Linked DNA regions of Saccharomyces cerevisiae S288C. The gene in region 1 interacts genetically with each later gene. Each region holds a gene or a part of one and is shown on either strand. Other genes may lie near its edges.

Region 1 (11,629 bases):
ATGAGTCATTCATGGACGATCTGAACAGGTGTGAGCAATTAGGGATAGGCCTGTATAACTTACATCCAGGTTCTACTTTGAAAGGAGACCATCAGTTGCAGTTAAAACAACTAGCCTCATATTTGAACAAAGCAATTAAGGAAACGAAATTTGTTAAAATTGTATTAGAAAATATGGCTGGTACTGGAAATTTAGTAGGAAGTTCTCTGGTAGATTTGAAGGAGGTTATTGGAATGATTGAAGATAAATCAAGAATCGGCGTTTGCATAGATACATGCCATACATTTGCAGCAGGCTACGATATCAGCACCACTGAAACGTTTAACAATTTTTGGAAAGAGTTCAATGATGTAATAGGGTTCAAATATCTAAGTGCTGTTCACTTAAATGATTCCAAGGCTCCTTTAGGAGCAAATAGAGATTTGCATGAACGCTTGGGTCAAGGTTATTTGGGTATAGATGTGTTTAGAATGATCGCGCACTCTGAATACCTGCAGGGTATCCCTATTGTCTTGGAAACTCCATACGAAAATGATGAAGGCTATGGTAATGAAATCAAACTTATGGAGTGGTTGGAATCAAAGAGTGAGAGCGAATTGTTAGAAGACAAGGAGTATAAAGAAAAAAATGATACGCTGCAGAAATTAGGTGCTAAATCGCGTAAGGAACAGTTAGACAAGTTTGAGGTTAAACAAAAGAAGCGAGCTGGGGGCACCAAGAGGAAGAAAGCCACTGCAGAGCCAAGCGATAATGATATCTTGTCACAAATGACAAAGAAGAGGAAGACTAAGAAAGAATAATGAGAAGCGAGAAGAATTTTAAATACGTAATCAATTTTTGTAGATTATCTCAACGTACGTAACTAAATGCTACCCTTCGTCATCCAAGATGCTGTTGCCCATTTCATAGAAACTACTTACTTGGTTTATAGATGTTTCGCGTTGCGTTACAGAATAAGGCAGCCTTTTTTTTTTTTAGATTTTCATTTTTCACATACTGATGGATTAGCAGACGAAAAGGGTAAAGTTAAATACATTCCAGTAAATGAACTAAGAAGGCTGAGCACACCATCCTCTTATGGAACGTTATTCCTAAGCATAGAAAGTTTTTTACTTGTAATCTTCAACGCGGGGTGTGTTCTTTATCTTTTTTTTCTTTTTTACACAATTAGACAAGTATATTTTGAGATAGTAATCACATCTACGCTTCGAATTCATCCATACCCACAGCAGCTGTTAGGTTATACCGACAATGGATGAATATAGTAGTATATATTCACAACCAAAGACTCCTCGGTTGAAACAAGAAGGATTTCCCGACTCCATTGGCGATCAACACGAAAAGGCATTGATTGATGAAAATGGTGAGGAAGATAAAAAAATGGCATCCACTGAAGGGACCACTGGTGATTCTCGCAGTACACCTTTGACTGTATCTATTCCGACGTTTGAAAATGTCCAAGCATTACCTACACCGATGACCTACACTCCGTTATCCCCAGGCAATCTGTCAATGTCACCTATAGATCAATCCTCGTTGAATATACCCAAAAGACGAAGTCATGCACGATTACTGGATGATATGCTTTCTGTTACACAACCAAACCAAAGAGTTGTTTCTGAACTTATTGCACCAGCTAATTTATCCCCCCAAAGGGTTGTTTCCTTACCAACAGTGACTGAAGAGGCTTTAGTAAATGATTCTGTTGATAGTGATAACTACACGAAAGAACCTTATTTTCCCGAAAGTAGTAGTTCTACCGAAAAGTGTGACGATGATATATTTCAGGGATTTCTTTTAGATCACTGGGATCGCCCGTTATTATGGAAAAAGGTCAGGCCCATTGGTTCAGGAAATTTTAGTACCGTACTTTTATATGAACTCATGGACCAAAGCAATCCTAAACTGAAACAAGTGGCCGTTAAACGACTCAAATATCCCGAGGAATTATCAAATGTTGAACAAATCAATACATCGTTACGATATAAGGAAACTTTATCCCGTTTGGAAAATTCTCTGACTAGGGAATTGCAGGTGCTAAAATCACTAAATCACCCATGTATAGTTAAACTACTTGGGATAAACAATCCAATTTTTGTTACTAGCAAAAAACCTTTATGCGATTTGATTATAAAAACTCCAAGAGCTCTGCCGCCTTGTGATATGATTATGTCTTATTGTCCTGCAGGAGACTTATTAGCTGCCGTCATGGCCCGTAACGGAAGACTAGAAGCGTGGCTGATTCAAAGGATTTTTACGGAAGTAGTACTGGCAGTAAAATATTTGCACGAAAACAGTATTATTCATCGGGACCTAAAATTAGAGAATATACTACTGAAATATAGTTTTGATGATATCAACAGTTTTAGGGACTCACCCATTTACTGCAAGCAAAATTTCATTGAGCTAGCAGATTTTGGTCTCTGCAAAAAAATTGAGAACAATGAGATGTGTACAGCAAGATGTGGATCAGAGGATTATGTCTCACCAGAAATCCTGATGGGAGTTCCCTACGATGGCCATTTAAGCGACACGTGGGCCTTAGGTGTCATACTATACAGCTTGTTTGAGGACAGATTACCATTTGACCCTCCTCCAAACGCTTCAGCAAGACAGCGTAGCAGAGCTACGTCACATCGTATTGCCAGGTTTGATTGGAGATGGTACCGGTTAAGCGATTATAAAACTAATGTGGGAAAACAGATTGTGGAAAATACGCTAACGAGGAAGAACCAACGTTGGTCGATTAATGAAATTTACGAATCCCCCTTCGTTAAAACGATCGCTGATACTCTAAGTTTTTCTTGAAATTTCCCACGGATGGGAGTTACTTTCGTTTTCTTTCTTATTGCTTACACCTGATAATCATCCAGCATATAGAAATTGTTCTTTAAATATCACATACAGTTCCATTACTTGACATTTGCAACATAATATTTCTGCTTTTTTCTCTATTTTGCATCCAATATAGCTTCTATCTGCTTACTACTGTCTTTTTGACAATGTACAATATATATCTAAGATAGTTACGAATAAAAATATTTTTATTAATTCCATAATATTTAATTACATAGAGGCAGCCAATAACAAACAGGTAAAGAGTTGTGTAAAGTGCATATATTCGTCTTTTATTCTAAGTTACTCATTCTAGCACTCCAGGTTGATTTGCTCCTCCTTTTAAGCTTTCACTTCCGGCTCTATTTCCTCTTCTTCATCTTCTTCATCGTTTTCTTTGAAATCTCCCATGTCCAAATTACCACCGCTTTGAGCCAATAATTGCTGCAATTGAGCCATATCTGGAGAACCAGCGCCACCAGCACCTCCCATCATTTGGCTGAAGTCCATGCCTCCAGCACCTCCAGCACCTCCAGCACCTCCCATCATTTGGCTGAAATCCATTCCTTGAGCGGCATCATTACCTTCAGCTTCAACTTCGTCTTGTTCATCTTCATCAACCCATTTATCGAAATCAGTTTTGATGTAAGGGTACTTCACCTTTTCCTTTGTCAAACGTGGCCAGTATTCAGATTCTAAATCCTTTTTATACAATTTCAAAAAGTAGTGCTGGCCATTAGCAACCTTATGCATTGTTTTTTCAGGTATAATTTCCTTGTATAGATCAATGTGTAATTGATAATGATGGACATTTTCATCGCCAACATGAGGCTTTGATTGAGCCTTTAATTCGATGTATGATGGCTTAATGGTTAACTCAGGGGCATCACAGTCTGCAATTGACACAGTTATTAAGACATAATTTCTTTCTGGATCAGTAGTACTAGACCTTTGAGCCCATGCAACTTGAGGGTTAATAACTTTATCGGACATGACTATTATGAATCGATGATCTTGGGAACTTGTTGTTGTAATGAATTGAGTCCACTAGGTTTCTCGAACAAGTTAATACATTGCCACCCATTTCGTCTTTTTATGCTTTTTTCCATGCTAATTCTTGCCGCTCCTCTCCGCCCCTTCAAAAACACTCGGAAGGCGGGTAGCATTAAAAGTCGAACAGTTTGTTGGTAACTTTTGTAGGTATATGTGTACCAATAACCACAAATTAAGTATTGATTATCACAGTCAACCTCTTTGTATATCAAAAATTATACTCTGTATTCATAAAAGGCAGTTATTTTAAAAGCAAGTAACGGCAGGAAAAAAATTATTAATAAGTATAAAAAGATTGGACGAGTCCGGAATCGAACCGGAGACCTCTCCCATGCTAAGGGAGCGCGCTACCGACTACGCCACACGCCCTATTTACTGTTAGTGTATTTCCACTTAGATTACTATAACAAGCTCTTTTAAACAATAAAACAGTTCTATAACAACCGATTTACGAAATTCTTCTGAGTAAATGAGGTCACAAATGAACTTTCTTTAACTTCCTCTTTGTCTCCATTCGTTTTTCCATGCTTTTTTTGTTTCTGTCGAAATGAAATCCTTGTATCATCTATTGGCTAGTATTCGTCTTCCTAGAATATTATCACAGCGGTGTAAGATGATGACATAGAGATTGGGAAACAGTTATCGGTCTTAATGGAAGCTGAAATGCAAGGATTGATAACGTGATAGGGTAATGAATGGCAAAGTATAGAAGAAAAGAAGTTAGAGTAATATTATCATGTAGAAAGACCGATTCCATTTTGAGGTTTCCTATACCCTCGAGGGGAACTTTTAGGATATTCTGTGTATCTCATACTATAGTCTTTAACTATGATTGAATCCGAACAATTATATTGTTCACGAAATACTCAGTTTTACAAAAATCTTGTGTATTTAACTGACTCAAAGTAGACATGACGGACGTGTGAATATTTAAAATGAGAAACGAGGAAGCGAAAATAAAGCAAATCTCACATGAAAACGCTGAAAGAAATGAAGAAAAGGTAAGATAGGATAATTGACGATTGGCATCACATAAAAGAACTCTAATGTTCGAAATTAAACTGAATGATAGAATAACTGAATTTCTGCGAAAGTTCAAGAATAGCGCGAAATCAAACGAAGGAATTGATGAGGACATTGATTTGTTCCTGAAGCGACACGCAATACCTATGCAGTCACTTCTTTTTTATGTGAAAGAGTATAGAAAAGACAGTGATCTCCAATGCTCTATCAAAGAACTTTTGAAACCTTTGGAGTTCGAATTCAAGCCCAAGGCCGTCAGAGGTTTACACTATTCAGAGGATTTCAAGAAAAAATTAGAGTTTTTGAAATATCAGGAACAAGAACTTGAATATCAAAGTATGGTCAAGAGAAGCAAGTCTGTCTTTTCACTTCAAGAAGACGATGAACTCACGCCTTCACAAATTAATAAACAGATTAAGGAACAAGTTACCACTGTTTTCAACGTTCTTGTAAGTGTCATATCGGTTGTTGTGGCCATTTGGTACTGGACCGGATCTTCAACAAACTTTCCGGTCCATGTTCGTCTTTTGTTGTGCTTGTTCTTTGGAATATTGGTCTTAGTAGCAGATGTGGTTGTGTATAACAGCTATCTGAAAAAACTCGAAGAAGCAAAAGTAAAAGAAAAAACAAAGGTTGAGAAAAAGAAAGTTCTAAGCAAGATTACACTGTAACTGATCATTTTATAAATAAGAACTCCGAGATCCGAGAGCATATAATTCTTGGAACTGGACAATTGTGAATAATGTTCTGTATGTTTATAATTACGTTTATAAAACTATCGTGTATGAATGTGAAATAAAAAATGCTCTATTATCCTTAATGCTACATAATATGAAGAAAAAGGTTGTAATGAAACCATTAGTAAAGTAGAACTGTCCTGGCCAATGAATGAAACTTCAAACCTCGGAGTTTGTTATGGGAATTAATTATGGCCTAAAACTCTCGACTCTATCGAATAAACTAGTTTCATTGTCTGTTCCATGAAGGTCAAACACATGATTGTATGAGGTGCGATTCTGAACACTTGAGCTGCAAAACCCTTATACAAAGCGGTTACACCTTCGATTCTAACAGTTTTGACCAAACAATCTATAGGTCCCTTGTACAAGTCACCTTTTTGATTATAGATTCTTGTCAAAATGACATCCCATGGGTTCATAACGACGGCAACACCTAACCCAGAGATAGTACTAGCAGTTAAATGTAATGCTGGGCCATCTTTCATCAGATCATTTTTGACCAAAATGTTCTTTGCTGTGTTGTAGATAGGTAGTTGAACAGAGGAACCAGCACCTGTCCTTAAAATTGCCGCATCAATACCTCTGAATAGACCCTTAACACCTTCGGTTTTAAAAATGGTTACTAACCCGTTCCAAACACCGGTGTAGTGCGTTTGTTCACCAATTTTTATAAACTCGGAATATGATTGAAGTCTTGTTTTCACCAAGAATAATGGAGAGCCAATGACTGCACCAATTATACCAGATGCGGCACCAGAAAAGACGTTAACTCCGACGCTCTGTACCTTATGTGGCTCTTGATCTGGGAAGAAAAGCTGATTTAATGATGATCTGATTGGCTCATAAAACCCTAATCTGGAACCATTTAGCCCAATTTGATAGATATAAGCAGCATTTAACCCTTTTTGCAGACCTTTTATACCTTCGTTTTTGAAAATTACCGCCATACCTTGGATTGGATTTTTATAAACTTTTGCAGCTGATGCTGACATTTCACCTTGAAGCTGCATTCTGATTTTAATCAATTCGATCGGATTAGTAACTGTAACAGCTATACATGCTGCTAGCCCACCAGCCACAAACGAACCAAACTTCGATATCTTCTGGGCGGCTGTTTTTTCAATTTGTTTATCTTGTTTAGAGTTGTCAGATGACATATTTGCTTACGATATAATTCGATGAGATGTGCTTGTGTCTGACTTGCTATAGCAATCTAAGGAAAACTATTTCGGATGGAGTTCTGGAGTGGGGGCATTATGGAAGAAGAAAGTATATCTTAATGTTGCATATAATCACATAGTTTATATATATGCAGTATTTATCATTTGACGACTTAGTCACAGCTTGAAATTTCAGCGGTGCTTAATGTTCGTTTTCTTTTTTTTTTTTTTTTCCGCAACAGAAGGCCGATTCCGCTGTAACTTAATGAGGTATTAAATGCCAGATTCGTTTTCGTGACCTCCTTTAGCATATCGGCAGACCCTGACTCGCAACTGGAATAACACCACATGCGAACAAAAGCATATTTTTGCCCTACTTAATTTGAGAGTGGAAAATCTTTCCTCGATTTCATTTTTCTTATAGCCCAATTGACGTCTCTGTAGGCCCTAATAGACCCCATCGGCCTAAGACCGTTTCCGGCATCTTTCGGGTTGTAGATGGTTCTGTGAGAAAATGTGTCAGTAATGAAAAATAATAAAGATCGCTACAGATATAAATAATAATACTATGTTATTTGCAGACATGCTTATGATCTAAAGACGGTGGAACAGATAGTTTTTCCTCTTACTTTCTGATTCTCTATCTGAAATTATTGAGGATTGTACCACAATCAGCACACGTGAAACCGCTATCACCGCCAGCAATGGGGTTTTTGGAAGCACATTCAAAATTAGATCCATTGCAGACGTCACATTTCAACTTCGGATAAGTGGTAGAAACTCTCGGAATATCATGCGGTCCAAACACCGTGGAGCTCGTACTTTCACTTCTTGACTTTAGGGATATAAAACTTCCATTGGATTTATTAAAGATCGAATTCTTGAAAATAGCACTAGCTCTTGATGGCATGCCGGAAATCACCGGGCTATTATTAGGATGCAGCTCACAAAAATCGTGGCTTGGCCTACTATTGTGCGTGTTAGATGGTGGGGTTGTGCTAAACTCATTATCCTCTGTGGAACTTCTTTCATCCATTCTATTTTCCAATATGCTGTCATTGTTGTGGTTGTTGATTTTACCAGCAGCTTCGAGGTGGAATAAATTGTATTCATGGAACTTTTCTATTATTTTTTTTCGTATTTCCGGTAAGATATCAGTTCTGAAAACACGGATTAGACCTTGACTGTCTGTTGTTATTAGAATGGTTCCAACATTATTCACAACGTTCGATAGGTTTGAGCTGAATCCTCCTGTTTCTGTAACTGGGTGATTAGGTTTGTTATCACATGTTTCCTTAGATTCTGAATAATTTTGGCCCATTTCTTTGAAGTACTGTGAAGTCAGTTCGAAAATCAAATCGTTTGACAAGGACAAATTTTTAATTGCAACGTCGGGAGCAATGGAAGCACATGTGACAGGGGAGTTATGGGCATGAAATGATATATAATGATTGTTTTTGATAGCTTGAGAACCAACAGTTTGAGTTTGAAGAACATTTTTTGATGAGTTGGTAAATGTGTGTGAGCTGCTTTGGTTTGACGTTTCTGTCAAACATTCATCATTCGTACTCTTATTAGATACAATTCTCAACAGCCCTTTTAAACTCATACTGCCGCTCAGCCGTTTCTTTCTATGCGGAGCAGTGCAATTCATTTCTGCTGAAAGATTAAAGGACTGCATTTTCCAGGTATAAAACCAATGATCATCACTTCCCGTGAAAACTACAGGTTCATTTTTCATCATTAGGAATTGGCCTCTATGACGTGAGGAACCACTTTGGAATCCTTTAAAAAGCTCTAAAGGTTTTTTTTCATTTAAATCAAAGATTTGAATTTTTGAATCATTTGTCGTAACTATCAATCTTAAATTTTTGTCCACCTTAGAAAAGAAGCATTGTAAACCCGTGATTCGAGGGCCGTGTTGGACCTTTCCATATTCGGAAGATGGATGAAAGCTATTCTTAGTGGTTCCTTGAGTGCTTTTATCAGATACATGGAATGAAGATACAAATTTTAATCCATGTGTCAGTAAAACATAAATGTATCCATTGAATGTACCGATAATTGTATATTCCCCACCAGGAGGAGATAATGTTAGGGATGTTATCAAATCTTTGCAATCAAAGGCATAAGAAACCTCATTGTCCAGTATAGACCACAGTCTACACCTGTGATCTAAGCATCCGGTAATTATGAAACGATCATCATTGGGAAAAAATATTGCGGATGTAACAAAATCTGGGTGAACAAAAGTTTTCAATGAGTATTTCCTCTCAGGGTGCCATAGTTTTGCAGTTTTGTCCATTGATGCTGTTATTAGAAATCCATTTTTGGACCAGTTTGCATCCAAAATATCTAAAGCGTGCTCCATAAAAACCCTAAACACATCAGAATAGAAAACCGGTGCGTATAAATGTAATTGTTTGGAAGGTCCTTCAAACTGGTCGCTCGGCTTCAAATCATTACTTGATATGGAGCCGTTATGAGAACTAATGCTCGCCAAATGTCTTTGAATCTTTAGTGAGTTTGCTCTAGAGGCACTGACTGACTTTTCTGAGCGTCCCATTTCGGATCTCTTAACTGGTGAGTTTATGACTTTCCAAAGATGCAAAGAGCCATCTTTACAACCAATAACCATATACTTACCATCATGACTGAACGTACAGCAGCATATTGAATTCTTGAATAGCTCTGAATTAGCAACTGCAGGTTCTCCCTGGTAGGTTGTAGATTTGTAAACGTCGGGAATTTTCAACTCTTGAGCTAAGAACATTCTATCAAACTGTTCTAATCCTTCCTTTTTTTTAAATATTTTAATATATGTGGGTTCTTCGAGATAGTTTTCGAAATATTTCCTATCGAATAGGTCGAAATACCATCGGTCATTCTCACTGAGTTTATTGTACCCATTTGAAACCACTGAGTTTCTGTGAAGTGTTTTTCTCAGCCTCGTGCCGTAGTCTATATTATCAATGAACCTTAATTGAGCAGGAATTATATCGGCAGAGTAGCCTCCATCATATCTAGAAGAGCTTCTTTTTGAATCTGCAATAGAGGAATGTCGGCTCCTGTCGCCTGGTATGTTCAAATGTTTCGTTTGGCTCTTTTCTTTGGGATTTACAGGGGTTGCATTGCGATCACCCTCGTTGGAGTTCGGGGTTTCATCATAGCTTAAAGTGCTTGTTTTCGACTTGAACATTTCACAGGCTCCTACTGCACAAATAGTAATTCTACGTTGGTAAGGATTAAAACGGTACTGAGTAATAGTGCAATTGACGTCTTCGACGGCTAGCGCTTGTAAACTTTCCTTGTTTTTGTCGCACCGTTAAAATAAAGATCTTGTTCAAGTCAGCTCCTTCTTAGAATAGCGGAAGACGTTTACTAAAGTCAGTATATGCCTGTAAGTTGCCTGTTAGTTGTTTTCAAAATTTCTTCCTGCTTGACGCAAATACCCTTTTTATGAAAACTCTTTTACGCATTTTGAATTATTAGCGGTACATTAAAACGGACTTTTCATTCCGTATTGGCGGTTATGCTAAATAAAGAAAAGAAGGCACCTAAACAAACCCAAAAATGCTTTCACAGGAATCATCACACCAATATGGCGCATACTATCTGAGAGACTGTTTCAAAATAGTAAATAATTGAGAGTTTTTTTTGCGGCAATTACATCTTTTTAAATATTTAGTTATTGAATGATTAAATTAGAAGGATTGATCATAAACAACACAAGAGAAACAAAGAGTATGGGGGATAATTAGTACTTTCATTTCTTTACCTGTGTACGGCAAAAAATATAAAAGGGCACTTCCATCAGATACACCACTAGTGATAGACTGACGGTTTCCCCTACCTTTTACAAGTCACTTCCCGTACACCATTATCAACATTAAATGACGCCTGAACATTTATTATTTGCAAACATCATGCTTTGATCTTTGAATACTTGATAATCATGCTTTGATAGATGTGGAAGCAATTCGGTAGAAAAGTTTCCTCACCCCAGTATTTTCTCAGTGCAAAGAGTTTGTCATTACCACACTAGCTAATGAAAGCCTCAATTCGTCCAGCTGAAAAAGATACGTCTGCATACTAGTAAATGGAACCGGATGAGCACAAATACAGATTATTAATGTCAATAACAATGACAATAGTTCCGCTATTTGCGTCACTTTTTACTTATGGCAGAAGGCAGGGTAAGCCGCACCACTCTTGAAAAGTTAAGAACTGACTATTTTCGCGAGAACAATGCTAAAAGTTTCAATTGTGCTGTCTTCGATTGACCCAAATAAAAGAGCTTCCCTCCGCGAGCAAATTAACAGACCTAATTGAACTGGAAAACATGTCTGTGAAACCCATTGACAACTACATCACGAACAGTGTTCGCCTTTTTGAGGTGAATCCATCTCAAACGCTCTTCTCCATATCGTATAAACCACCAACACAGAAGACAGACACCAAAGTGTCCTTTAGAACTCATAACTCGCATTTATCCTTGAACTATAAATTTACTACTAATAAGAGTAAAGATGTTTCAAGATTACTTAGTGCATTAGGCCCACGAGGCGTATCTATAACTCCAGGTAAAATTGAAAAAATAGCACAGTCGAAGAAGAAAAATAACAAAATAAAAGAATCGAGTAAAAAAATAAAAGGTAAGAGCATCCAAGACATTGTTGGTTTAGCCACCTTAATTGTCAACACAGATGTCGAAAAGAGCGATCCTGCGGCTAAGAAAACTGCTACAGAACCGAAGCAAAAAGCTAATGCTGTGCAAAATAACAATGGTAACTCTGCAGCTTCAAAAAAGAAAAAAAA
Region 2 (7,255 bases), on another chromosome or scaffold:
TTAATCACTCTACTTAATGCAGTTTCACCAACTGCCATGAAGGCAGCCTTCTTGGACTTTCCGACTTCGTCACCGTTAGAGTCAAACACAGAAATACCCTTTCTAATTTCGTTGCCTCTCATTAGGAAGACGTTGACAATACCGGCACTGACCACGGCGGCAAATGGCACCAAACGGCCCAAGATCAACTTTGAATGTGGAGAAATGTTTTTCAACCTGGGAACTAGGTTATTTAGACCTAACGCAACACCACACGACGCAGTTACAGCGGCAGCGTAATTGGTGAGCAATTGGGACGTGGACATAGGATGAGATTTGTTTGCGTTAGCGGAATTAACGGCGACGTTTAGCGATTGATTTGCCCATTGCCAAAATACAGTCCCTGCCGTACCCAAACCAGGCGTCAGCATACCTACAGTAACGACTAGGTTTGATAGCACGTTGGAAGACATACGGAAGGGCAAAAGAACTGTCTTCCCTGTGTCCGGATGCACGGTGGAGTCCAGTTGTTTCTTGGCTCGCCAGAACTCCGGAGTAGTCTCTTTTAGTTCACCGTGACGATACGCACTGATGATTTCTCTAGCATGCGCCAGGTCCTTCTCAGTAGTTAACAACATAGTGGGGTCGGAAATCTCTGCGCAATGGCGGATTCTACCCCAATACGTGGATAAGTCATAGCGGGATTCGGGCAAATCGATGGGCCCTGGGACTGATGATGCCATATTTCTCTGCCTTGTTTATTTTTTTCTTTCGATGCTGTGTGGTTTTATTATTGCTAACTTGCAGTGGTCGACGCCTTTGAAAACTGTAAAGCTGATGCGAAGACCTAACAGTCTCTTATCCAATTACCTCAATCTGGTACGCTCCGGTACCGGACGCCAGTACGAAAGAAAAACTTTTCGTTCGTCTCGGGCACCATTGGTATAAAAAGCGCCGAGGCAGCGATCATTTTTCTAGTATTACTCTTCTTTCATTTTTTAGTTATCTTTGATTTTCGGTTCCGAAGAAGGCATGATACATATTAAACATGCCTTCTATTCACTGTGCCATCTTACATCCGTAGGTGATCAGAGGGGAAAAGAAGAGCTAGAGCAACTCCCACACTCATGAGCGTCCTCATACTGTTCTGGGCGCTTCTCACAGGTGCTTCTTTTAGTGTCTCCCATTGGCCCAGATCGGTAGCTGCGCGAGTGAGATATCTTTCATTCATTTATATTTATCTGTAGCAATAGCTTCCTTTACTATTTTATTCTTAGGGAGAACTTTAGCTTATTTCTTGCACAAGAGGGTTTGACAGTTTTCTGTTACCCGGCCAGTACTTCAAAAATTTTTCAAAAATTTTCTGAAGTGCTCATCTCATCGCAAACCGTAGGAGCAGTGAAAGGCATATGCTCATCTGTATAATTGCAAAAAGACATATTCTATGTTCGCAGAACCAATACGTTACCTAAAGTTTTAAAGACAATACCAAGGGAAACTGCACAAATTCAATATGACAGAAGATAAATCGCAGGTTAAAATCAGGTTTTTCACGCGTGAGAAAGATGAATTACTACATGTACAAGATACTCCAATGTACGCCCCCATCTCATTAAAGAGATATGGGTTGTCCGAAATTGTCAATCACTTGTTGGGCTCGGAAAAGCCTGTTCCTTTCGATTTCTTGATTGAAGGTGAATTGTTACGTACTTCATTGCACGACTATTTGACCAAGAAAGGTTTATCGAGCGAAGCCTCGCTGAATGTAGAATATACCAGGGCAATTCTTCCACCATCCTATTTGAATAGTTTCAGCAATGAGGACTGGGTTAGCTCATTGGATGTCGGCGACGGTTCCAAGCATATTATTAGTGGTTCTTACGATGGTATAGTTCGCACCTGGGATTTATCAGGTAATGTGCAAAAGCAGTACAGTGGTCATTCTGGCCCAATCCGTGCAGTAAAATACATTTCCAATACAAGGCTAGTTTCGGCTGGTAACGACCGTACTTTGAGATTATGGAAAACCAAAAACGATGATTTGAAATTAACTTCACAACAACAGGCACAGGAAGACGATGATGACGAAGTAAACATAGAGGACGGTAAGACACTGGCTATCTTGGAAGGTCATAAGGCACCAGTAGTCTCTATTGATGTTTCAGACAACTCAAGAATATTATCTGCATCATACGACAATTCTATTGGGTTCTGGTCTACTATTTATAAGGAAATGACAGTTGTTGATCCATTAGAAGATATAAACAATCCAAACAATAAAATATCCACTGCTGCTAGAAAAAGGAGAAAATTGACAATGAAAGATGGTACCATTAGAAGACGTGCCCCTCTGTCTCTGTTAGAATCCCATACAGCTCCTGTTGAGCAAGTGATCTTCGATTCTACAGATAATACCGTTGGTTATTCAGTATCACAAGATCATACCATCAAGACATGGGATTTGGTCACCGCGAGATGTATAGATACAAGAACAACATCGTACTCGTTGCTTTCCATTGCTCAATTGTCGACTTTGAACTTGTTAGCATGTGGGTCCAGCGCCAGACACATCACATTGCATGACCCACGTGTGGGAGCGTCTTCCAAAGTTACTCAGCAACAACTAATTGGTCATAAGAACTTCGTTTCCTCTCTGGACACTTGTCCCGAGAATGAGTATATATTATGCTCGGGTTCTCACGATGGTACCGTGAAGGTATGGGACGTCAGGTCTACTTCTCCGATGTACACCATAACAAGAGAAGACAAATCGGTCCAAAAGGGCGTCAATGACAAAGTTTTTGCTGTCAAATGGGCTGAAAAAGTGGGTATTATCAGCGCTGGTCAAGACAAAAAGATTCAAATAAATAAAGGAGACAACATTTTCAAAAACTGAGAAAAAACTGTTGTTGTTTTTATGTAGAATAATGTACTGATATACTTGAAATAAATTTGGTTTTGCCAACAGCTTTCGCAAATTTCTGTCACCTTCTTCTTTATGTAAAACGACATTACTTGCTAAAAAAAAAAATACTTCTATGATAATGTGTACTTGTATGAAACTTCTATAAATTTAAATTGGTGAATTTTATCCAGCTATCCCCCAATTTACTATTTGAATATATGCAATTGTGATCTGTCTTAAGACCTTTTCAAACCATTCTGGCGGAAGCATCGGTGGCCATTTCCGTATACGAATAACCGTCTTCATTATCCTTGATAGCTGAGTATAAACTATTGGAAATGGGTTCATTACGATTTTGCGCATGTTGCCCGTCCTCGCGATCAAACGAGGCAGGAACGGGCTGCGTATGGGTCCTGCGCAGAGATAGCCTTTCACCTGGTTTTTCTCTAGTCGAAGGGTCTGTTTCCATGGTCCTTAACGTGGTCATCCTTGTTAGATTCAATTCACCATCGACAGCATTTACGTCATCTATACCACCTTCGGTCTCAGCCTCCTTTTCCATGGCGGCATAACCAAATTGTGACTTGTGTCTTAATTTGCTCCCCCATTTTTCAAAAACCCATGGAATTGGAATCATCACAACGCAAACTAATGCAAATAAAGTGCTTGCCCATTTGATTTTCATCTTTGTGTACATTTGGATGGTAAACAATGGGAATACACTACTCATAACGTATCTTAATAGATTATTGGCAGCCAAACAGGATGCCACAGTTAATGGCGGATAGCATGTAGAGAAGTACATTAAAACGCTGAAAAAAATCAAAATTAAACCAAAACCAAATGGCACACCGGCAGCCACAGGAGCCATCCAGTGGACATCTGATCTAGCAGTCCAGGCTTGCCAAAACAGGCCGATAGGCAAAGCTACAGAACCAAATTTACAGGCAATTAAAAATTTTTCTGGAACAACGGGTAGCAATTCACCTGTTTCAGCGTCTCTTGCACCTCTGTAAGGGGTAGTCCTTTTAGAAGTTCTCTCTTTTTCGGTGAGTGGTTGAGTGCCAGCTGGTGGTTTAGGGAAGAGATATTTTCTGTCGATGTAAAGGTAAAAGAAAGCACCTATCCATAACCCGACACCAATACCAATAAATGGCAAGCCAGATATCCCCATAGACATGTGGTAAACACCACGATAAATGACAGCGTATGCTTCGAAAAATCCAAATAAAATGGCGAATATGAAAGCGACATAAACACTGAAAACAAATACAATAGGTTCAACGACAAGCATTTTTAAAGGCCTTAAGATTGTAATAGTGACAGTGGTTTTTAAAAATTCTTTCTGAGCTTCCCTGCTGAACTTCTTCAAGGCTATATTTCTCTTCTTGGCACGCTTTCTTAAAATAATACCTTTATGGGTCTCTGGCATGAGCGCAATAAATGGCAAGATTAGACCGCCCGCAATCAATTGGATCCATTCAGACCAACGCCAGCCTTTGGCTTCAGTAGCAAATCCTGCCATAATAGGAGATAAAACTGGCCCTAAGAATGGAGATAGAACAAAGTATGTCATTGCGACGGAGACCTGGTCCACGTCAAAGATATCCAGGATGGTACCTGATCCAACGGATAAGGCGGGGGATGCAAAGACACCTGATAAAAACCTTAGGGGTAGAATTATTCTCATGTGGCCATTGGATAACCCAACACCCATGGTGAAAAGCATTGACACAGGTAGGGAAAATAAATAGACAGGCTTACGACCAAACACTTCACTTAATGGAGCGCCGATGACAGTCGATAAACCCAGAAGATAGAAAGTTAAACCAGCAAGCGCCAAAGTCTGACTAACGTGATATCTTTCTACCAATTCTGGTACGGAAGAAACATATAGGGAACTACCCATTGTGACGACCAAACAAAGAAAAGCTGAAGTCATAGTAGTATACCATTTCTTCAAAGAGGACCAATTATGCGGATTGTCTGGGTCATCGGGCCCGTCCCAATCGAGATCTCTTGGGTCAATTGGCTCGCCCCCTGTCATGTTATTGGAATCTGCATTCGGTTCTGATCTTTTTTCGTCCTCTGTTATTGACCCTGTCGAAGAAGAAGTCGAATCCAAGTTGCCGCTATTAGTTACATTTTTGTCCAAGGCTTTTGGTACCTGCTGTATGTTTGTTCGAGGATCTGAGTTAGATTCGGTTTTTGTCAAAGAAGAAGGCATTAGTAAAACTTAAAATATATGTATACGATGTCTATGCTTCTTTGTGTGTGTATGTGTGTGTATAAGATGGTATCTTTATTCTGTAATTTTCAGGAAAGTGATGACTAGAAAATCGATGTGTCAGGTACAACAAATTGACAACCTATAACTTTCCATACAGGCGAATATATATATACACATAAACACATTCAAGCCTCCGGTACCGTTTGCTCTGACAAGGACAATTAGCATGTAAGCACGAGTGCGGGTATGCAATCATTTCAGTGTTTCCTTCATTTGGCATAGTGTCGTAACACGGATTTAAGGTGAGCCGTCAGGGGCTTTTAAGCGGAGCCCCTGCAGCTTCATGAAGACGGAACCGCACGGGCCTATTACCTCGGGGATAGATCAATTATCCGAAGCGGGTCACAACCCGGAAATAATAACCACTATGCCCGACCGTACCGACGTGGCACTATTTTTGGGATCCGTGGAAGTCGGCCATTAGTGGTAATCGGCGAAAACAAGTTTATTGCAGCTAAAGCACGCCATACGGTTGATATAAACAGCAATTAGGCACTTTTTCTCTTATTATTCATATGCCTTATTGGCTTGTGGCTTGTGGCTTGTAGCCTATGCAAATGCATTTGCTGATAGCAGCATAAGAAAGTTGGGAAGAAACGCTAACTGTACTTTTTATATCCAGAGTTCATTAGTTGATCTTTTACCCCAATAATTTCTTCCACTTGCGGCCTGCTTCTTCGCATTTCTCCCATTCCGGGCCGCGACTCCGTAGTTCTTACAGAAACAGCCGCCTCCATAACCATCTATGATAGGAAAAAGATGGACAAACAGGAAAAGAGCTAGGGAGTATAACCTGATTCCTGACATGTATAGGATTCGGGTAATTTTGAAATACGAAGCTCTTTGCATTCCGAGACCGGTTTAGGAAGATTTATTTACATATCTACTTGCGCTATTGTGGTCATGCCTTCGAAAGATAAAGAGCGAATTTTGCTCGTATAAGCTAAAATCAGGTAAAAGTTCCTTATGTTGCTGCTCCTCGATGGCAACGTCGATCTAAGATCTTGATTACTGAATCAGGCGAAAGCACACGTTCATCTTTCGCTCATCGGAAAGAAAATTAAAACAGAAAAAAATTCTAAAATGGCAAAAAAGAAGAAAAGCTCAGTGAGGGCTGTATAGTTTATTAGATAAGCTACTATACGTACATATCTTTTGTAAATAGAACCAAAAATCTTCATGCTAAAGGGACCGCTTAAAGGTTGCTTAAATATGTCTAAAAAAGTTATAGTGATTGCTGGTACAACAGGAGTAGGAAAGTCTCAGTTGTCCATACAATTGGCACAAAAATTTAATGGCGAAGTTATCAATTCGGATTCTATGCAGGTATATAAAGATATTCCTATTATAACAAATAAACATCCGCTTCAAGAAAGAGAGGGCATTCCTCACCATGTAATGAATCACGTAGATTGGTCAGAAGAATACTATTCCCATCGTTTTGAAACTGAATGCATGAACGCTATTGAAGATATTCACCGGAGGGGTAAGATACCCATCGTTGTTGGGGGTACTCATTATTATTTGCAGACTCTTTTCAATAAGCGGGTCGATACGAAATCATCCGAACGTAAGCTCACAAGGAAGCAGCTCGATATTTTGGAATCGACTGACCCTGATGTGATTTATAACACACTTGTGAAGTGTGATCCTGATATAGCTACCAAATACCATCCTAATGACTACAGGAGGGTACAACGAATGTTGGAAATCTACTATAAGACGGGCAAAAAACCAAGCGAGACATTTAACGAACAAAAAATAACTTTGAAGTTTGATACCCTATTTTTATGGCTATACAGTAAGCCGGAGCCACTTTTCCAAAGGCTTGACGATCGTGTAGACGACATGCTAGAAAGAGGCGCCTTGCAAGAAATCAAGCAATTATATGAATATTACAGTCAAAATAAATTTACGCCGGAGCAATGCGAGAATGGTGTTTGGCAAGTTATTGGCTTCAAAGAATTCTTACCGTGGCTAACCGGGAAAACTGATGACAACACAGTAAAATTGGAGGATTGTATAGAAAGAATGAAAACGAGAACACGTCAATACGCAAAAAGGCAGGTAAAATGGATCAA
Region 3 (12,271 bases), on another chromosome or scaffold:
ATGTTTGATGTGGAAAGATACAACGTCCCAATTTACAAATTTGAGGTTGACCCTGAAGATGATGATTTGGAATCCATGGAAGAGAATCAAGCCTTGGCATCCTTGCAACCATTTGCTATTATAACTTCAGATACCAGAGATAGTGAAGGTAGATACGTTAGGGAGTATCCGTGGGGGATAATATCAATCGACGACGACAAAATTTCGGATTTGAAAGTTTTAAAAAACGTCCTGTTTGGTTCTCACTTACAAGAATTCAAAGACACCACGCAAAATTTGCTTTACGAGAATTACCGTTCCGAAAAACTATCGTCCGTGGCCAACGCTGAAGAAATTGGTCCTAATTCTACAAAGAGACAGTCAAATGCTCCAAGTTTAAGCAACTTTGCCTCTTTGATAAGCACTGGTCAATTCAATTCTTCTCAAACTCTTGCAAACAATTTGAGAGCGGACACACCAAGAAACCAAGTAAGTGGAAACTTTAAGGAAAACGAATACGAAGACAATGGCGAACATGATTCAGCAGAAAATGAACAGGAAATGTCTCCCGTGAGACAGTTGGGTAGAGAAATAAAACAAGAAAATGAAAATTTGATAAGATCTATCAAAACAGAATCTTCACCAAAATTCTTGAACTCTCCGGACTTACCAGAGCGTACCAAGTTAAGAAATATTTCAGAAACCGTTCCATATGTCTTGAGACATGAAAGAATTTTAGCAAGACAACAAAAACTGGAAGAGTTAGAGGCCCAGTCAGCTAAAGAATTACAAAAAAGAATTCAAGAATTAGAAAGAAAAGCACACGAATTGAAATTGAGGGAAAAACTAATAAATCAGAATAAACTAAACGGTTCATCATCTTCAATCAATTCTCTACAACAGAGCACAAGGAGCCAAATTAAAAAAAATGACACGTATACTGATTTAGCCTCTATTGCATCGGGTAGAGATTGAGTTGTATCTGTACAAAATCCAAAGCTGAGCAAATAAATAAATAAATAAATGTATAAGTTACCGAACGGGGGTATTTTTACTTTTGATCAAAAATTTATGTACCAACTACAAAGTTTCCTCAGCACAGCCTTCAAGAAGGGAACACACATACAAACAGTGTCAAATAATTGTAGGGATAAATTTAAATATGGCATAAACTAAATAAGTAGAGCATGAAAAAACTGCAAAATCCAAAAAGTAAAAACGAAGGTCAGAAAGTAAAGCAAAAGAAAATTAATAAAGCAATACTAAATCTATCATGATTTCCCGTAACTTCCATTAAAGCTGTAACCAGATTTACTCCTACTGTTTGAGCCTCTAACGCCTAATGGATTTTTAGAGAAGCTCAACCTGATACCTCCTTTGTTGTTGAGGGAAGGGCGGGGGTGAGGTAGTTGACTACCATATAATTCTGCCAATGCTCTAGTGGCAAAGCTAACATCCTCAAATTCTACAAAACAAATTGGACCATGGCCATGACCGTTGCCATGACCGTGAGAGTTCATTTTATTCCTGAAGGATAATCTACGAAAACCTTGCTGATTAGAAAACAATTGCCTTAATTCTTGTTCCGTGGCATCCGGAGGTAGATTACCCACATAAAGAGTATTACAAGGAGGATTTTGGTCCGCGGGATTGGCTGGTGGTGGCACCTTGGCTAGTAGTGATAGGTCAGCCTGTGAAATAGTTGTGGAACCTGCCACATTTGTTTCGTTATTTTTCGAAAATGCAGAGGCAGAAGCTGTAGAAGAACATTCTTTCTGTCGTGATATTGTACTGGTGTCTTGTTCACTCACTAAAAAGCCTTGATTCACCTTTTGGTTGTTGAATATTGAAGACCCGTTAGGAGCAGAAGATTGTGGGTGGCCATTTTCCGTTTGGAGATTCAGGTCCAAATTGGAAGGAACATTCGAAACGCTCTGCTGAATACTTTGTGTCTTAGTTGAAGCATTAATTTGGTTCAATAAGTGATAATGCGGTAGAGAAGTCGCGGAATGTATTACTCCTGAATTGTTCAGATTAGGTTGTGATTGAATATGTGGAACATCCTGGCTAATTGAATGGTGGGATGGAGGCAACAGATTAGACTGATGATTTTCTTGGCTAGATAATTGAAAAAGAGGAATATTAGCAGTTGAGGAAGCATTCCACTCCATCACAGGCGTAGATGACATCGGAGGCTCTTGTAAAGATGCACCAAATGAAGAATTACCAACATCATTAACTAATTCATCACCATTCCAAATACTTTCATTTATTTCATCCTTTTCTAGTAGCAAAAGTGACTTGCCAGCGTCCTTCTGAGGTGGCATTCCTGCTGGAACTGGTGTGGTGGTTACGTTTGATAAATCATGTTGTGAGATGCTATTTCGTAGAAAGGGTACGGATTCTTTTCTTTGAGAGATTGTTTCCAATCCGAATGGGTCATTGAATGAGAAACGGAGGGATCTCTCTGAAAGTAATGAAGGCCTTGGCTTGGCCGCTGAAGGCCCTAATGGAGAGGAACTAGTTTTTCCATATGATATAGTATTAAAACTTTGATTTTGAATTTCATTTTGCGCACTGGACGACAATTGGTAATTCTTTGGAGAACTATTTGTAGTGCCAGATGAAACATGTTCTTGAAAACTCACTGGAAGCTGCGTTTGTTCATTTACTACGTCAATGTGAGACCTAAAGGGGAAACTAGGCCCAAAAATCTCAGACTTCGAGTTTAATATATTAGCATAATGGGTTACTAAAGAAAGGGATCCAAATTTGACCACAACGACTTTTTCATTGTCATTAAAGGGTTCTCTATCATCCCTTTTTAGTTCTATACTTGACACCCCAGTTGCTAGTGAAAATATACAATAACACTCTCTTAGTGTAATGTCTTTTGGCAAATTCCTCAGCAAAAGACAGTAGGGGCCAACATCCACATCATGTGGGGCTAAAGAATTGACGTCATTCCCGTTCCCTTTCCCCGTGGACATGGTCAAATTATGAAGCATAGAAGTCATAATAGGTTCTTTTGCAAAACCTTGCGGGTTCTCTCTTTTAATGTTAGTCTCGCTGTTGCTCCTAACTGCGGAAAAACTATATGCAGTTGGCATGGGATATGTTGCCTCCTTTGATAATGGAACGGTTTCTGAACTAGAACTAAATGCCCTTTCTATAAGAAATTTGGATTCGTTTAAATTCGTCTGATTATGCACTAATGACATTGTTAATTGAGAAACCTTAAGCGTTATTTTTCAGCGTAGATGTGGCAACTAAGGTTCCTGTTTTCAAAAACCCTGCTTTTTTGAAAAATGCTCGAAAAATAAAGAAAGAAGTCAGTCCCTTGTTTTAGCAAAGTGATAATTTGTGAAATATGACACAAGTAGAAGATAAACCTTTACACGCAGAAATAACAGCGGATTATATTTTGATTCTTAGATTTCCTAATTTCGTGAACTTTTAACTAAGAAGGAAAAAACAATTGAGATGAGATCCAAATGGGAGGAGTTTTGAAACAATTGTTTGCTATTATTTCAATGATTTAGTGTTGCCACCAGATGGGTCTATTTTCTGTAAAACTACCGGTTCGAGGCTCCTGCCGTAACCTTAATTGTACTTTTCTATGATTTAATCCAAATAACCATTCCATTCCTCTTTAAGTCTAAGAAACATTAAAAAACAAAAAACACCACGTCCGGGTAATGAAAATATAACGCTGGGTAATGCACGTGTTGATAATTACATCGTTTTTCACTAATATCGTACCAAACGAGATGTTTGCAGAAAGAACAAACCAATATTTTAAATAATCAAAAATCAAATTAGCTATTATTTCTCATTTGGTGATAATAATATATACATACATATATATATATATATATAAATATATAGGTATATATATAAATAACCTAAGACAAGTTAAATGAGTATAAAAAACCTTGAACGTAAATGAAAAAAAAAAAAATACTAGTAAATTGACAACATAAAAGACAAAAATAAATGAAAGAGGAAAGTGGTAATAAAGTGGTTAAAATTTGTTGTAGTTGTAGATAGGAGGAGTCCGCGTAGACAGTTATTCAAATTCAATTGAGGAAGAAAAATAGATTTCAAAGAATACTGGGAATTTGTTAATCGAGAAGTGTTTAAATTTCACTCCTAAATCCAAAAGTACCGCCAGAAATACTTTTTCTCACTCTACCCATGAAACTTTGTTTACCAGCCTGTTCCTCACCTTGCTCGTCGTCATGGTAATCTTGCTCACCCTCATCGGAACCGTACTGATGATGTCTTGGAGTGTGCTCGGCTGAATGAGTAGAATTATTATAGTCGTAGTCAGACCCTTTTGAAGAATTCTGTCTGCTGTGACGGTGATGATTGTGATGATGTTTTGATTTTCCGGAACCCATTGAACCCACCGACACTTTCCTTCCCTGAGAAGTTGTTTCATTATGAATTGAATAGGAAGTGGTTTCTGGGTAGGTGCCCTCAGATGGCTTTTGAGAACTAGAGGTGTTGGTGTCTTTAAATCCGTATGTTGGGACATGTGGGTCAATCAAACTAGGGAAATTACCAACTTCGGCAGCATAAGCGTTTGAGGCGTCGGCACCACCAAGGTCGGTTCTACGTTTGTTCTTCAAATCTACTTCACGCTTGTAGCCCGGTGCGTCTTCCTCTAAAACTTTCGCATTCTTATTGACATCAATATTATCGTCGCTAGAATATTCTTGATTTTGGGAATTGCCGCCAGAACCGTAACTGGCCTTTTGTTCTGATGATGGTTCCTGATCGTGAGTCATTCCAGTAATATCTTGTGATTTGGCATATGTAGGGTCCGCATTTTTAATATTATCGTAAGCAGCTGTTTCAGCATCCCCTGATTTGGAGTATGTAGTGTCTCCAGATCTGGAATTATCAAAGGCAGCAACATTAGCGTTTTCGAGATGAGTGTCTGTATTTTTACTATCATCAAAAGGGTTCGAGCTGAAGGTCTTGGATTTTGCACCCATCCTTCCGGTTGTATCTACGTTTCCAGTAGTACCTGTTTCCGGATTATTGGTGAAATCCTTGGCATCGGATGCAATATCCTGTGTTGTTTTTGCTCTTCTTGGCTCAATTTGGTCAATAAAATTAGAACGCGTTGGAGTTGGGCCTGATTTATTTTTGCTTAAATCAGATAATTTTTTGTTACCAGAAGTATTCGAGTATTCGTAATTGCCAAGACTCTCATCTCTTGCAGTCTCCATACCAGCACGGTTAGTGGTTTGCCTTGGAGACAACGGGTCTTCATCTTGTTTTTGCACTGATTTTGACAACGTATCAGGTTCAAAAGTACCTGGGATTTTCTCTCTCTGCTCATAATTGTAATCCGATGGTTTTCCCTGGTACGCTTTCTTAGAATACAAGTCGTTTTTCTTTGCATTTGAGTAGTCGTCAATATCATTCTCGTGGTAGTCTTCAACATCATCCAAATAATCCAACCCATATTGATGAGGTTTAGTAGAATCTTCATTCATATCTTCGTCCTTCATAGCAGGTGATACAACATTGTTTCGGGTGGTGGCATCATTAGAAAGCCCGGACCATTCTGCTTCATGACGGGGTGACATGTCAATATTGTTGTTCGTATTTTGAGAACCAGCTTGTGAACCGGCAACATATTGCAAGTTATCCCTACCATTATCATTATACTTCATATGTCCTAATTCGGTTCCCGCTTTAGGCATATTCTGAGATCCAGATGTACCGCTGTCGAATTTCTCCTTCATACTAGAAGGTATAACAACATCCTGCAGATTCTTATTTTTACCAGCGCTGGAACTATATTCAATTGGACCCCAATTAGAATCCGTCTTGGATTTAATGTTTTTCTGTTGATAATCATCGGCGGATTCCAGAATGTCATCTCTTTCAATGTTAAATTTTTCAGCCGCTCTTTCTGATATATTTTTATTATCAACCTTATTCTTTTCTGGGTGTTGAATGTTTTTATTGCTATCATGATAAGAAGGTTGCTGGCTTACAAAACCACTTGTCCCGACTGCTGCTTTGGGTTCAGGTTCCATAGTTTGCTGTTGGATTGCATCAGAACCAGAAACTTGGTCATTTTTCAATCCAGTTTGTTCGCTCTCATCCATCTTCACGTTCTGTGCAATTTCTTTAATTGTATCTTGAGGAGGACCAGTCGCAGTGTTGCCAGAGTACTTTCTACGATCTGCAGACTTCGAACTTGTGTCCGTGTAGACACTAGGGTCGACAGCGTTCATACCGGAACTAACATTACTCTTTGGGCCTGTACTTGTGTAAACACTAGGATCAACAGGGTTCACATCAGTACCAGTCATGCCCCGGAAACTACCAGGTATGACATCTCGATCTGAGTTGGAATCAGTGTTCGAATAACCCTTCGTAGCTGAGGAGTTATCTTTAACACTTGTATGTCCATGAGTAACTGAAGGGTTAGTTTTAGTACTGGAATGATCCTGTGCAGCAGCGGTGGATTTAGGACCAGTGCTTGAACCAGAGTGACCATGGCTAACAGGGTGGGTAGTTTTGACGTTGATATGTCCATGTGTAGTTGCAGTGGCTGATGGACCAGTATTCGCTTTAGAATGCTCATGAGTATTGGTAGGAGATGTGGTTTTCACACTGGCATGACCATGTGTGTGAGTGACAGGGGAAGTGGTAGCACTGGAATGACCATGCGTGTGAGTAACAGGAGAAGTGGCAGCTTTGGAAGTGCTGTGGTTATGAGTGGTTGCAATACTTGGATGCCCTGCATCACCTTTGGAATGTCTATGCGCAGTGGGGGACGCCTTTATATTTGAATGTTCATGGCTAGTGGGAGGTGACGTTTTCACTTTGGATTGCTCACTTGTAGCAGCGGGTGTCGTTGTTTTGACATAAGAGTATCCATGGGTAGTAATAGTAGCATTAGGGCCAGAACTTGACTTGGTGTCGGCAGAAACAGGGTTCACATCAGAAGTTACGTTGGCACGGCGGTTAGCGTCCGCCTCAGTGTCTTCGTGTGGAGTTTCCGAGTCTTTATTATGCTTCTTCCTCCAAGGTAACAGAATGTTTTTAGCCTTGGTTTCCAAATTCTTGGACGTTGATTCGGGCTGTTCTTTTGGTAAGTTATATTCGGTCGGCTTTGTAGTACTGAAAGACTTTTTGCGTTGAGCAGAATCTGAATTGGAATCATAGGAACCGGGCTTACCACCAAACGAAAAATTATTTTGTTCTTCTTCGCCTTGACCATCTTTGGAAATGGACTCGTTCATATTCATATCTTGGGTTGGGTGATATTCTTGATAGCTCTCCACTGGGAAATCTTCACGGTGTTCGGTATTATTCTTATCTCTACAGTTACATATAAAAAAAGGTGTTTTTGAGTTAGTTAGTATTATATATTAATTTTCTTGAGGGGGTGGTATTATTAAAGAATTAAATTCAATATTATTACTATTAATTACACTAAGGTGCCGGGTATTATTGACGTTTTTTTTTTCTTAGTCTCTTTAATGAAGAAGGAAAAAGAACTAAGTTATTATTAGAAGGAAAAGGAGGAGGGGAGGCGAGAAAGAATGGTGGAGAATAAATGAAAATCTCCAAGAAAAAATTTCAGCACGATACATATGGATTATACCATGTCACAAAAAAATATTTCGGTTGGAGGTAGATGCAGAGTTATGGTACTGCGAATGTAGGAAGAAAAAAAAAATTAGGAAGTATTTTATGGTGATTATTTCCTTCCTAGTCGCGTACCGTCACTGGCCCGGCAAGACCACCATCCCCAGCTGGTTCTAACTCAGCTGATGGCACCTGCTTTCTTGTTTTCAGTTTTTGAAAGAACTTGCCATTGCCAGCCGGAGTAGTGGTGGTTGTAGGTTGAGGCTGTCCAACCACAGGTGCGGCTGTGATAGGGCCCGCGCCGTCCGTCGCCCCACTATTGTAAGTGGATTTCTCCATTTGAGCACCGGTGTCAACAGAAGGGCTTTCATATTGGGCATACATGTCGTGGTCCGAGTAGGTAGAGTGGGCCTTGTGGGTAGCACTGAATATAGTGGACCAAATGGCGTTCACGAGCATCAAGAAGACCGAAGTCCAGATGAACGCAAAGTTTTTGGGTCCCAGCCTTGCAGACCTCCCGCTGTTGCGGAAGGTCTTTCTGGCCTTCACATAGCAACCTGTGTACAAGCATGCAGCCAATATAATGAAGAAAAAGGCCAACCAGGACAACACACAGTACAGGACTGGCACTGCCTTGAAAGGAAGGAAGGTAGCCAGAAAGCCGGGTACCAGCGCCAGTACGATGAAAAATAGGGAAATCAGCAGCATGGCCCATCCAACCCTGGATAGATAATAGTAGGTATCCCGGTTGTTTCTGAACGACGATGGTAAATTGACAGAGTTACCAAAATTGTCTCTGGGAGAGAAAGGCTTGGCGGGCGCCCTGCTAGAGCAATTAGCTAGCTGGCCGTCTTCGTAGCCGCACCAATTGTAATTGTACCATCTCGTGGTCGATGGAGCGCTGTTAAAGCCGTTTGTATCAGCCTGTAACCAATAAAAATTTTTCAGCGTTCCAGATTCTCTGCCTCCTGACAGAATAAGAAAAAACGTCAATAAGCCAGCACCGAGTAGGAATAAAAACACAAGCAAATTAACGAACCTTTTGAAAATCATAGCGGTAGATTATAGTGATTAGTGTTACTTGTTACTTGGATAAAAAGGAAAGTATAAGCGTTAAACGTAAATACCTCTTTCTTTTTAATTCACTTCAAAATTACTGTACTTAAAGTTTGCATCTAACGGATAACTAATCAAGAGAACAAAGCAAGATCAAGTAACTGTTGCAAAGCAACCATCCTTTTATATGTCGGCATCTGCGCCGAATGCTCCTCCCCATTCCAGACTATCCTTGTTTTAGCATCAAGAAGGAAGGAAGACCTTTCATTGACTCTTGCTTCTTACCACTCCCCTCTTTCCCTTTTCCTTCGTGTGAAAACGTTCCACTCCCTTATATTCAGAGCACCCTTAAATTTGGTTATTTGGTCTTTTTTTTTTATATTACTCCGAGACGTCACTGCAATTTGGCACCGCCGCGTTGGGCTGCGCGGATCATGTCTTACGAGGTGGGAACGGCTCCGGCGTCATCGTCATTATCCTCCTCCTTTTTCACGGTGACGCCATTTTGCGCGGCAAGAAGTCGCAGAGGATTGACGGTAGCATTAATTGCGCAATCAAGACTCCCTGAATCAGGAGCCGCTGCAACCTTCGGATGGGCCAGCTGTTGTTGCAATTCCCGAAAGGTGCATTCAATTGGGCACCAGATCTGGAGTGCCACGGTAGTGTCAGGGAACAGCGTGAGCGAGGAGGTTATATTGAATTTAAATGAATGGCCGAGAAATTGTGCCAATTGCGTATATTTTTCCTCAAGAGGCTGACGCTGTAAGTAGGCGCTTGAGCGGTTGAAAAAATAAGCAAAGTTCTTGGAGGTAATGATGTGTAGTTGCAACACTCGCTCCGGGGCCAAGCCGCGGGTTTGTAAAAGTGGGAGCTCATTCGTGATATGGAAGCAGAGATCAGATGCGTGGTACTCGATGGCGATGATACGGCCCTCGCAACTGTATAATGTGTTGCTCTTGTGTGTTTGCTGTGGGCGCGGGAGGCGAGCCGAGGAGTCCAAGAGAGAAGATATATCTGTGAACTTTACATCGAAGGAGGACACGTCTGCATTCAGGTCGGGTATGTGTTCTGCGAGAGCTGGTGTAGTGGGTGATTTTTTTGGTTCATGCTTTACTTCATCGAACCTCAGTTTCGCGAGATGAGAACCGTTTCTATGTATGGGGAAAAACCTCCGGTACTCTTCGAAATAGCGTGAAATTGCGGATTCGCCAATTCTCTTGAACGCTCGTTGGTAGAACAATCTTAAATGTTCGCACTGTGAAGGCGAGGCGATGCTGCTTATTTGGGAATGCGGGACCGGCTCACATTCGCGCACAATGGCATTCAATTTGCCGTTGTACATTTTCACTTTTATATTCATCTTACAAACTATGCCGTATTGCGAAAGGTTTTCATCGCGGCCGTTCTGTAGATCTCTTAGCCCGTTGTTGAATATTTTTCTGAGCTTAGAGTCAAACGTTTCGAATTGGTTTTTGTACATGATGGCTTTGAAGCCCTCGTTCAGCTCTAACTTGTTCTCGTAATCTATTAGATATCTGTCGTAAAGATAGTTTTGGACGATATCGTTCTTGGTAAAATCGCTAAAGACAAAAGATATAAAGGCAGGTTTATCAAACGAGCAGGAGACTAGCATGCCAAACATTGTTATGTATTTGGTCTCAAAAGTGTCGAGTCCCAACTGACAGAATTCGATGGTGGGGTCTTTCCTTGCCATTTTGCTCATCCTTGTGCGAGACGGATCGATTGACGCCGACGATTGCGCAGGCACCTGCACCTGCGCCTGCGCCTGCGTGTCGGTGCTAATGTTCTTCAAACTCCATACTGCCATACCTGGGCTGGCGGTCTTGTCATTGTCCCACAGGATCCTTTCAACTTCGACGGAAATTCGATCAGGCTTTTCCAGTAGTAAAATATCCGATATCTTGTCGCTTTGACAGTTTAAAACACCGAAGAGCTCACAGATTCGCTCTCTCGTCGGGATAACGATCTCAATGCAATTGACGCCTGGCACCAGGACCTTGTCTGGGACATTTGGTAAGAGCTGCGTAAAATATAATTTCAATGTGCAATATTTGAACTCATTTATACTGGCGAATTGAGGTGGATTCATGCCAACAATTTTGCCCTCTAACCTTTCAACTGAGCCTACACTAGCTAGGGAAAGTTGCTCATAACTGATGGCTTTGCGGATTGAGGACGCGTTCGGACTGTGGAAAGAAAGCTTTCTCTTCCTCTTGCTTCCGGAATCATCATCGTGCCAATTATTTGGTACGCTTGTTTTCCTTTCAGGTGTCTGTGACTGGATGTAGGATTTTGAGCTGAAATATTTCCCGGTAGAGGAGGTAGTTGAGGAATCTGAATCCTCAATGGGATCTGCGCTGTCATGCATTTCCTCTCCCATGTTGCTTATATCTGTGGTCGGTTCATCTACATTAAGCGTCATAAGCTGCGAGTTGAATTCGTTTTGGGATTCAATGTAAGGTATCCCTAGTCTATTTGGCACAAAGAAAGGATTAATTGCTGCGGCTTTTGATTTCTGCGATAATACCTTTTGTTGGTCTTGAACGAACTTTTTTAGTTCTATATCGTAGTGAATCAACTTTACAAATTTAAACCTGTTTTTCTCGTCTCTATTCATTTCTATTAAATTGTTGAAGATATCCACAAGTGAGTTGTTCAAATCACATTCTGAAATAAGTTCTGATGACGAATGCTTGCTGCTATTTGTCGATTTTGTAGATATGGTGCTTATCACACTTACCAAATCCAACGGTTTTATGTCCTCTAAGAATAGAGTATAGTTCCCGTGTTTTGATACATATAAAGCTTTACAACTTGAAAAACATAACCTTTCAAGGTGAATATCTCTCAGTATTACTGTTGGGGATGCGCCTGAGTCAGAATCTAAATCTGGCAGTTCAATATCAAAGTATTGGCAAAGTAAGGAAATAGTGATCCGGGCTAACCTCTCCGAGCCCCTATCTTTGAACTTCAGTTTGATTAAATATTGATCTTCTTGGGATTGATCTCCTCGCCTCTCAAAATTAGAAAAGCCTAGCAAACATTTTGTTTCAGTCAGGTGTATTGAGGTTAAAAGCGCCACGAATTGCACGGGAACTATTGCTTTGCTGGGATAGCCTTCAAAATCTTTACTCGAGCTCACAAAAATACGATTTTTATGTGGAGGACACTCAGGCTCTTCTAAGGTATCCATTTTTAGGCGATAGTTTCCACGGTCATTCGTATCCAAAGAGAAACATATATGAATATATTCTTAAATTTCCATTTTGAATTAGCATTTCGCATCTCACTAGGCCTTCGCGTCTCTTATGACGTTGAAAAATTTGGATATCAAAGGTTTAAAAAGTATAATCACGTTAATCAAGGCTGCATGTACATATTAAATAATCCACATATTATTCAGCAGCGGATTTACAATGAAGATTGTCTTACAAAAAGTCAGCCAAGCATCTGTAGTCGTCGATTCAAAAGTTATTTCAAGGTATGTTACCGGTTTTTTCAGCTTCGTTAGTGCACCAATTTTTTTTACTAACACCTCTATCTATGTGACAGTATTAAACATGGTTATATGCTCCTAGTAGGTATTTCCATT

The links.
Region 2: mutations in DGR2 (region 1) and TPO4 together harm fitness more than expected from each alone (negative genetic interaction), as found in Saccharomyces cerevisiae (one large-scale study listed by BioGRID).
Region 3: mutations in DGR2 (region 1) and HBT1 together harm fitness more than expected from each alone (negative genetic interaction), as found in Saccharomyces cerevisiae (one large-scale study listed by BioGRID).

Annotation. Positions count from the first base shown.
Region 1 is NC_001143.9:212,523-224,151, reverse strand, and holds DGR2 (Dgr2p), read right to left. Parts: upstream 10,011-11,629; coding exon 7,452-10,010; downstream 1-7,451. Other genes in the region: DNA-(apurinic or apyrimidinic site) lyase APN1, read left to right, coding at 1-800; serine/threonine protein kinase PRR1, read left to right, coding at 1,252-2,808; Hsp90 cochaperone SBA1, read right to left, coding at 3,178-3,828; VPH2 (Vph2p), read left to right, coding at 4,935-5,582; OAC1 (Oac1p), read right to left, coding at 5,834-6,808; signal recognition particle subunit SRP21, read left to right, coding at 11,154-11,629.
Region 2 is NC_001147.6:831,321-838,575, forward strand, and holds TPO4 (Tpo4p), read right to left. Parts: upstream 5,112-7,255; coding exon 3,132-5,111; downstream 1-3,131. Other genes in the region: FSF1 (Fsf1p), read right to left, coding at 1-722; YTM1 (Ytm1p), read left to right, coding at 1,493-2,875; MOD5 (tRNA dimethylallyltransferase), read left to right, coding at 6,354-7,255. UniProt on the Saccharomyces cerevisiae protein: Cell membrane polyamine/proton antiporter, involved in the detoxification of excess polyamines in the cytoplasm. Recognizes spermidine, spermine and the antimalarial drug quinidine, but not quinine, chloroquine and mefloquine.
Region 3 is NC_001136.10:53,147-65,417, forward strand, and holds HBT1 (Hbt1p), read right to left. Parts: upstream 7,260-12,271; coding exon 4,119-7,259; downstream 1-4,118. Other genes in the region: septin SHS1, read left to right, coding at 1-954; WHI4 (Whi4p), read right to left, coding at 1,251-3,200; FMP45 (Fmp45p), read right to left, coding at 7,726-8,655; telomere-binding protein CDC13, read right to left, coding at 9,098-11,872; DTD1 (D-tyrosyl-tRNA(Tyr) deacylase), read left to right, coding at 12,096-12,160, 12,232-12,271. UniProt on the Saccharomyces cerevisiae protein: Polarity-determining protein which forms a conjugate with the ubiquitin-like modifier HUB1. Involved in bud site selection and cellular morphogenesis during conjugation. Required for survival during stationary phase.